2 linked regions of the Macaca fascicularis genome follow. The protein of the gene in region 2 binds, or shares a complex with, the protein of the main gene of each other region. Links are inferred from orthologs where the notes say so. Each region holds a gene or a part of one and is shown on either strand. Other genes may lie near its edges.

Region 1 (3,935 bases), on a different chromosome or scaffold from region 2:
TCACTTTCATTTAATTTCATGCCAGCTCCAATACACACCCAGCTGCGGAGACCTTGTCTAGCTAGTGAGCTGCTCAGACACAAAGGCGCTCTAATTACCATCCGCAAGCCAGGCTGACAGGGATTTCAAGTGTTTTCATGTTTATGGAGATCAGAGAAATGTGTTCTGTACATCTTTTTCACCGATGGCAAGTATAAAATAAAACCAAACAAAAAACCCAACACATTTATTCAAAGCAGGCATTTCAGTTAAGTTAAAATCCTATAATCAGGATAGCCACAATTCCAGACACTCCGGTGCGAAGTGTAGATATGTCAGTAGCCACATCTGGATGATGAACAAGCCATTGACTATAAAAACGAGAACAACAGCACAGTCTCAGCGCCTTTAGAGTGAGTGAACAGTATGTTCCAAGCACTTCACCATGGTTCACAATGGCAAAGCCTGCAGCTTCTCCATTTGGAGGGTCACATTTTCTACTCGGTTTCCTGCACTTACAAAGGCCAGCTGGCATGGCTGGGGGAGGGGCAGAGGGAGGAAATCAACTCCGCTATCCAGGGAATTGCAGCTGTTATTGCAAATGGCCCCAGAGAGCCCATTATAAGCTGCTGTGCTAGGCTGTGTGTCCCTGGAGTGCCCATCACATGGCGTCTCCCTAGCCCCCAACCCAGGCCCCCAGGATCCCAGAGCCACCCGCTTGAGTAGGACAGCAGAGCCAAGTGGGAGAGGAGGAACCCGGGGCTCCGTCTCGGGAGTTTCCGTGAAAGCCCGGAGCGCGGCCAGGGGCGGTGGTCGCCTAGGGAAGCAGACGCCCAGCACGTCCGCGCTTTCCCACACCCGCGGTGGCGGCGGCGCGCGTGTCCTCAGGAGACTCCAGCACTTGCAAAAAACACTGCGCTCTTCTCCGAGCACGGGCAGAATCCGGCTACTCTGTCCCGCAACCCAGTGCGTGCCCAGGAAACAGTGACCTTGAACCCGAGGAGAGGCAGGCCGGCTGTGAAAATACACTTTAGAGAGCGCGTGGGGTTCACTCCGCGCCTCTCTACCCTTCCATCACCATTCAATACCCCCCGCCCCCACCTCCTGTCCCCACCCGTGTCGTACAGCCTTTCCCCCACCACTCTGAGAAAGGCAGACAGTTGCAAAGGGAGCGCAGGGGTTAACTCCTATTCAACCCTCAAAGGGTCCCTTCATGGCACCGCGTGTTTGATATTAAGCAGCACCTCCAAAGACACAAGATGGTTTTTTTAAGTGTTGAAAATATTCAAGTCTGGCAGATTGGGGTGCACCCTGAAATTATCTACTCATGTTCCCCTCCCCCAAAGTGGATCAGGAGCCAGCCCTGAAAAGGTAAAGCAAGTAACTGGCATCATCCTCAGTAGTTCCGGCGCGCCGCGATCCGGAGAAGCGTGGATTGTGGCCACATGGTCGCGGGGCTGGAGGGCACTGAGAGGCTGCGCGGAACTGCACGCTCCGCGGCTGGGTCGGGTCACTCCAAATAAGGAATCCTACTAACTTGTAAGCTTGGGGTGCGCTCTGTAAAATCCGCCTTAAATAGGGCCGAGTTCTGCATTTCAAATATTTTGGCCCTCAACCCCAGTTACCCGCGAAACATTCGCGATTTTTCTGTTCCTCGTCTTTAGCTTTTTTCTCCCACTTCCAAAAGCCAGAGTTCTCCACCAGCCTGAGCAGAATTGCAGCCCTCAGGGGAACCCGTTGCCCTCTAGTCTGAGGCCGGCGCTGTGGGCACCCCGGGCGTGTTAGCTGCCAGGGACAAGAACGCCGTCGCCAGTTCTGAGCTGCGCCCTCCCGGAGGCGCCAGGGTCACTGCAGGCCGCGCGAGGGCTGCGAGGTGAAGGGGGTTCATGCACCGGGGCCGACAGAGGTCCCAGGAGCGGGCGTTGGGGAAGCTTTGCACGTAACTGCAGCCGTCGCGAATGAAGCCTTCGCACGGCCTCCTTGATGAGGTTTCCAGAGAGCACTAGCTGCTGCAGGAGCCGGTGCGGGTCGTCGTCGCCTGTGCGGGTTTCTGGTTGGGACCCGCGTCGCTGCTGCAGGCGGCGGGAGGCGGCGGCGCCCCGGAGCCATCCTCGCCGGCACGGACCCGACAGCGGCTGCGGGACGCCCTGCTTGCCAGCACCCGGAGGACCATCGAAGTCGGCCTGAGGGGGCAGTGGGGACAGCGCGCTGGGGCCTGTGGCGAGCTCCGCCACGCAGTAGGGCGCAGCGCGGCCCCGCACGCGGCCGCGGTCCCCCAGGGCGCAGCGCAGGACCCCAGGGGGCGCCGGGCCCACAGTCTCAGCCGACGCGGGAGGCAGCAGCAGCGGCACCGCCGGGGGCCTGGCCTTGTCCGCCGGCACCGCCGCAGCCAGGGGTCCCGGGGCCCGCAGCGGCGCCCCCGGGGGCGCGCACGGCGAGGCCGGGCTGTCCTGCGCCGCGTCCAGCTGCAGCGTCTCGCCGATCTGGGCCACCAGCCGGTCCACCTCGCCCGAGCTGCCCAGCGCCACCGACTGCTGCAGCAGGAGGAAGCTGTCCTCCTCCTCTTCCTCCCCCTCCGCCTCCTCGCCAGCTTCCTCTTCCTCCTCCCTCCGGCAAGGCATGGCCCCCTGTCCGGGCACCCGGAGCTGTGCGGGCGTCGCTGGGGGCTCGACTGCCGGCGGGTGCGGTGGGCCGCGGCGGAGCGGGCGCGGAGCTGAAGACGATGCCGGGGCCGTGGCCGGGGCCGGGGCAGGGGCCGTGGCGGACGCGGAAGCCGGAGCCCGCCAGTCACTCCAGCCGCGCGCCTGCAGCCGCGGGAGCCGGAATCCTGCCGGCTCGGGTTGATTTGTAAACAATGGGTGACGTCGCGCTGGGCCCTACCACCGCGCCGGGGAGGGGGTGCTGTGCCGCTGGGGGACGGGGCTTCTGCGGGACTGGGGGTCTGGGTGAAGCCGGACTGCCTTCTGAGCTCCTTCGCTCAGGGTGCTGTCTGCAAGGGCGCCCTGGGGACCTGATCCTGGCTCCCGCAGTCGGGCGCGATTGGCATTTCCAGAAATGGACACCAGCGTGGACCTTGTTGGTTTCTTCCACACACAAGCACACACACACAGTAACACACACACACCGACCCACACACCCCTTCTCTCCGTGCGTCAACTCAACCGGGTTTTAGCGTTTGCGCTTTTGAGGTCCAGCATGCGGGTGTCTGGTGAGGATGGAAAGGAAAGGGAGTCAGGCTAGGGATTTGTACGGAGATTAGGGAAACTGACGGGAATGGGAAGGAAGAAGGGGACCTTGTCGTGCGATGGAGGTGGCAGAGTTGGAAATGGCAAAGAAAGGCCACGGATTAATGTTTCTTGATCGAGATCCTGGGCGGATGGGGGCCTGGACTGGGGTTGGCATTGCTGGAGAGGAGGAGGTTGCTAGTCTTTTTTGTTTGTTTGTTTGTTTTTGAGAGGGAGTCTCGCTCTGTCGCCCAGGCTGGAGTGCAGTGGTTTCATCTCCACTCACTACAACCTCCGCCTCCTGGGTTCAAGCAAATCTCCTGCCTCAGCCTCCCCAGTAGCTGGAATTACAGGCACCCACCACCACGCCCGGCTAATTTTTGTATTTTTAGTAGAGACGGGGTTTCACCATGTTGGCCAGGCTGGTCACGAACTCCTGACCTCAGGTGATCCACCTGCCTCAGCCTCCCAAAGTGCTGGGATTACAGAGGTGAGCCACTGTGCCCGGCCTAGGTTGCTAGTTGCTAGTCGTTTTTTTTTTGTTTTTTGTTTTTTGTTTTTTTTTTTTTTTTTTGAGACAGAGTTTCGCTCTTGTTGCCACAACCTCCACCTCCTGGGTTCAAGCAAGTCTCCTGCCTCAGCCTCCTGAGTAGCTGGATTACCGGCATGTATCACCATGCCCGGCTAATTTTGTATTTTTAGTAGAAATGAGGTTTCTCCATGTTGGTCAGG
Region 2 (3,500 bases):
CCTACTGTGAGGTGTCTCCCAGTTAGGTTACACGGGGGTCAGGGACCCACTTGTAGAGGCAGTCTGTCAGTTCTCAGAGCTCAAACGCTGTGCTGGGAGAACCACTGCTCTCTTCAGAGCTGTCAGATAGGGACGTTTATGTCTGCAGAAGCTGTCTGCTGCCTTTTGTTCAGCTATGCCTTGCCCCCAGAGGTGGAATGTAAAAGAAGCAGTAGGCCTTGCTGAGCTCTGGTGGGTTCTGCCCAGTTTGAGCTTCCCTGCTGCTTTGTTTACACTGTGAGCATAGAACTGCCTACTCAAGCCTTAGCAATGGCAGACGCCCCTCCCCCCACCAAGCTCCTGCATCTTAGGTTGATCTCAGACTGCTGCCCTGGCAGTGAGCAAGGCTATGTGGGTGTGGGACCCGCCGAGTCAGGCATGGGAGGGGATCTCGTGGTCTGCTGGTTGCGAAGAACATGGGAAAAGCACAGTATTTGGGCAGGAGTGTATCACTCCTCCAGGTACAGTCACTCATGCTTTCCCTTGGGTAGGAAAAGGAAATCCCCTGATTTCTTGCGCTTCCTGGGAGAGGCGACGCCCTGCCCTGCTTCGGCTCGCCCTCCGTGGGGTGCACCCACTGTCCAACCAGTCCCAGTGAAATGAACCATGTACCTAAGGTGGAAATGTAGAAATCACCTGTCTTCTGCATCGATCTTCCTGAGAGTTGTAGACCAGAGCTATTCGACCATCTTGGAAGCAACCATAAATGCCATCTTGCAAACGAAGGTGTTAATTGGTCGCAGACATTCACTGGCTTTTGTGTATATTAATACTTCTGTGAATTTAAATGGATATAAATATTGGTTATAATATCTTATTAGTGCATTTGGATATTCATTTATCTAGCAATTTATATTTCACAGAGAAAAATACTCATAAATATTATATTACTTTTATTAGGTTAGTTGGAATTCAGTTAGTATTTTAAAATGAAAATTGTCATAATGGAAGAATAACAGGAAAAAGTAAAAGTCCAATAAGTGAGCCTAAGGACTTATATTGTACTGAGAATTGGTTTTAGATTTGTCAGGGAAGAGAGAAGAAATAGTAGACATTTTTGTGTACATTGAAGTCACTAAAAGAACAATGTAAAGCTCTTTTAGATCAGATACTAGGTAGCATAATTCAGAGAATCGATTAAGAATTCAGAAAACAACATGGTGACTGTGGACTGTGCCTGGTCAAGTAGGAGGTGGCTCTTGTGCCTCAATTGAAGAAAGCCTTTGAATTGCTACCAGGGATGAGAGAAGGCAAAAAAGGGAAGAAGAGAGCTATGAGTAAATAGAGACCCTGGAGCCAGTAATCTGCTTGTAATTGGGCCTCAGTTCAGAATGGATTGGATTATTTAAGTTTTATATCTGTTAACCCCAAATTAACATTCTTTTCTTAACCTGAGCTTTCTCTGAGAGGTCTTCTACTTTGTGAAAAAGATTATTCAGGGAACTTAAAACTCAAAGCCTTACTTTCCTAAACGCAGAAGGATCTGAAGAGAGTCAGAATTATTAAACATTTTTATTTGCACACATTTTATTTTCAAGTAAAATAAGATCTTGAGAAAAGCCCTAAGACCTTTTAGAATTGGATGGATAAGGTCAGACTTTTATGGGCTCACAATTTGCTATTTGACCATGGGCAAATCTAACATTCTTCCTATTACCTATAATGTGGGAACAGTACTGTCTACCTCATAGGATTGAAACTAAGCATTGTGTTTGGTCTGTGGAATGACTAAATACATGGGAGTTTAAAAAATGACTTATAATCAAAACAAGTAATTGAAGTAATTACATGTGATAAACGAAAAATAATTTGTAGTAAAGAATATGGTTTATTTTGGCCAGGCACGGTGGCTGATGCCTATAATCCCAGCACTTTGGAGGCCAAGGAGGGCGGATCACCTGAGGTCAGAAGTTCAAGACCAGCCTGGCCAACATGGTGAAACCGCGTCTCTGCTAAAAATACAAAAATTAGCCAGACGTGGTGGCAGGTGCCTGTAATCCCAGCTACTCGGGAGGTTGAGGCAGGAGAATTGCTTGAATCTGGGAGGCAGAGGTTGCAGTGAGCCGAGATTGTGCCACTGTACTTCAGCCTGAGTGACAAGAGTGAGACTCCATCTCAAAAATAAAGAAAGAAAAAAAGAAAGAAAGAATTTAGTTTACCTTGTATATGTTGGCAATTTTCTCTATTTAATTCCTTATAGTTCTCATTAAAAAAAATTTTTTTTTCCTTTCTTCCGTTAGGAGACAAGGATGGCAGCAAGGTGACCACAGTGGTAGCAACTCCTGGGCAGGGTCCAGACAGGCCACAAGAAGTCAGCTATACAGACACTAAAGTGATTGGAAATGGATCATTTGGTGTGGTGTATCAAGCCAAACTTTGTGATTCAGGAGAACTGGTCGCCATCAAGAAAGTATTGCAGGACAAGAGATTTAAGGTAAAACGTCTGGTATTTCATGTATTTTGTTGCTGTCATAATACATGTACCATAAATGATTATTTTTTGGTTGTTTCTTTTTGCTTCAAATTTCTTCTATTGTGCACATTTTTGTCCAGCTCAAGCATTACAATGATTTTATTTCTAGTCGTGTATTTTGTAGAGAGAAAATTCACTGAAGATTGCAGTATTACTTTTGTAGTCATTATAAATGACATATATATATAAATCCTGTGAAAGGTAAGTTAAAATTTCTTAATTTATACTTTAAAAAGCGACCTGTCCCCACCCTTGTACTGTGTTGATGTAGACCAGAGGAACACTGCCTGTAGCATATAAGTATTTTGTGTAGTTTCCTATGCTTCCTTTCTTGAAAAAAATTTTTTTAATTCATGATGCAACTTGTGTTAGTCTATTTTTGCATCTCTATAAAGGAATACCTGACGTTGAGTAATTTATAAAGAAAAGAGGTTTAATTGGCTCACAGTTCTGCAAGCTGTACAGAAAGTGTGGTGCAGACATCTGCTTCTAATAATTGTCTCAGGAAGCTTCTAATCACGGGTAGAAGGTGAAGGGCGAGTAGGTGCATCACATGGTGAGAGCTGAGCCAGAGCATGAAGGGGGAGATCCAGACTTTCTTATTATTTTTATTGTTGTTATTATTTTGTAGAAACAGGGTTTTGCCATGTTGTCCAAGCTAGTCTCAATCTCCTGAGCTCAGGCAATTTGCCTGTCTCAGCCTCCCAAAGTGCTGGGATTACAGGCATGAGCCACCATGCCCGTCCCCAGACTCTCTTAAATAACCAGATCTCCTGTGAACTGAGTGGAAACTCACTCATCAACAAGGGGATGGTGCTAACCCATTCATAAGGGGTTGACCCCCTTGATCCAATACCTCCCACCGGGCTCTACCTCCAACACTGGAGATTACATGTCAACATGTGGTTTGGAAAGGGGTAAACATCCAAACCGTGTTACAACACTATTCATTTTTCTTGTAACTTTTTTTTTTTTTTGCTATCTTCCT

Evidence for each region. Proteins that work in one complex are often made in the same cells at the same time.
Region 1: the proteins of GSK3B (region 2) and FRAT1 are in contact, whole or in part, in a crystal structure (PDB 5OY4), measured with the Homo sapiens proteins. The link is inferred for Macaca fascicularis from reciprocal best matches to the Homo sapiens genes GSK3B and FRAT1. Residues at the interface, in NP_001139628.1 of Homo sapiens: Tyr216, Ile228, Phe229, Ser261, Gly262, Val263, Asp264, Leu266, Val267, Ile270, Lys271, Thr275, Pro276, Ile281, Tyr288, Thr289, Glu290, Phe291, Lys292, Phe293, Pro294, Ile296; in NP_005470.2 of Homo sapiens: His200, Leu202, Leu203, Leu206, Val207, Ser209, Gly210, Asn211, Leu212, Ile213, Lys214, Glu215, Ala216, Val217, Arg219, Leu220, His221.

The regions. Positions count from the first base shown.
Region 1 is NC_088383.1:106,269,605-106,273,539, reverse strand, and holds FRAT1 (proto-oncogene FRAT1), read right to left. Parts: upstream 2,801-3,935; 5' UTR 2,601-2,800; coding exon 1,761-2,600; 3' UTR 211-1,760; downstream 1-210. UniProt on the Homo sapiens protein: Positively regulates the Wnt signaling pathway by stabilizing beta-catenin through the association with GSK-3. May play a role in tumor progression and collaborate with PIM1 and MYC in lymphomagenesis.
Region 2 is NC_088376.1:163,177,221-163,180,720, forward strand, and holds part of GSK3B (glycogen synthase kinase-3 beta), read left to right. Parts: intron 1-2,279; coding exon 2,280-2,473; intron 2,474-3,500. UniProt on the Homo sapiens protein: Constitutively active protein kinase that acts as a negative regulator in the hormonal control of glucose homeostasis, Wnt signaling and regulation of transcription factors and microtubules, by phosphorylating and inactivating glycogen synthase (GYS1 or GYS2), EIF2B, CTNNB1/beta-catenin, APC, AXIN1, DPYSL2/CRMP2, JUN, NFATC1/NFATC, MAPT/TAU and MACF1.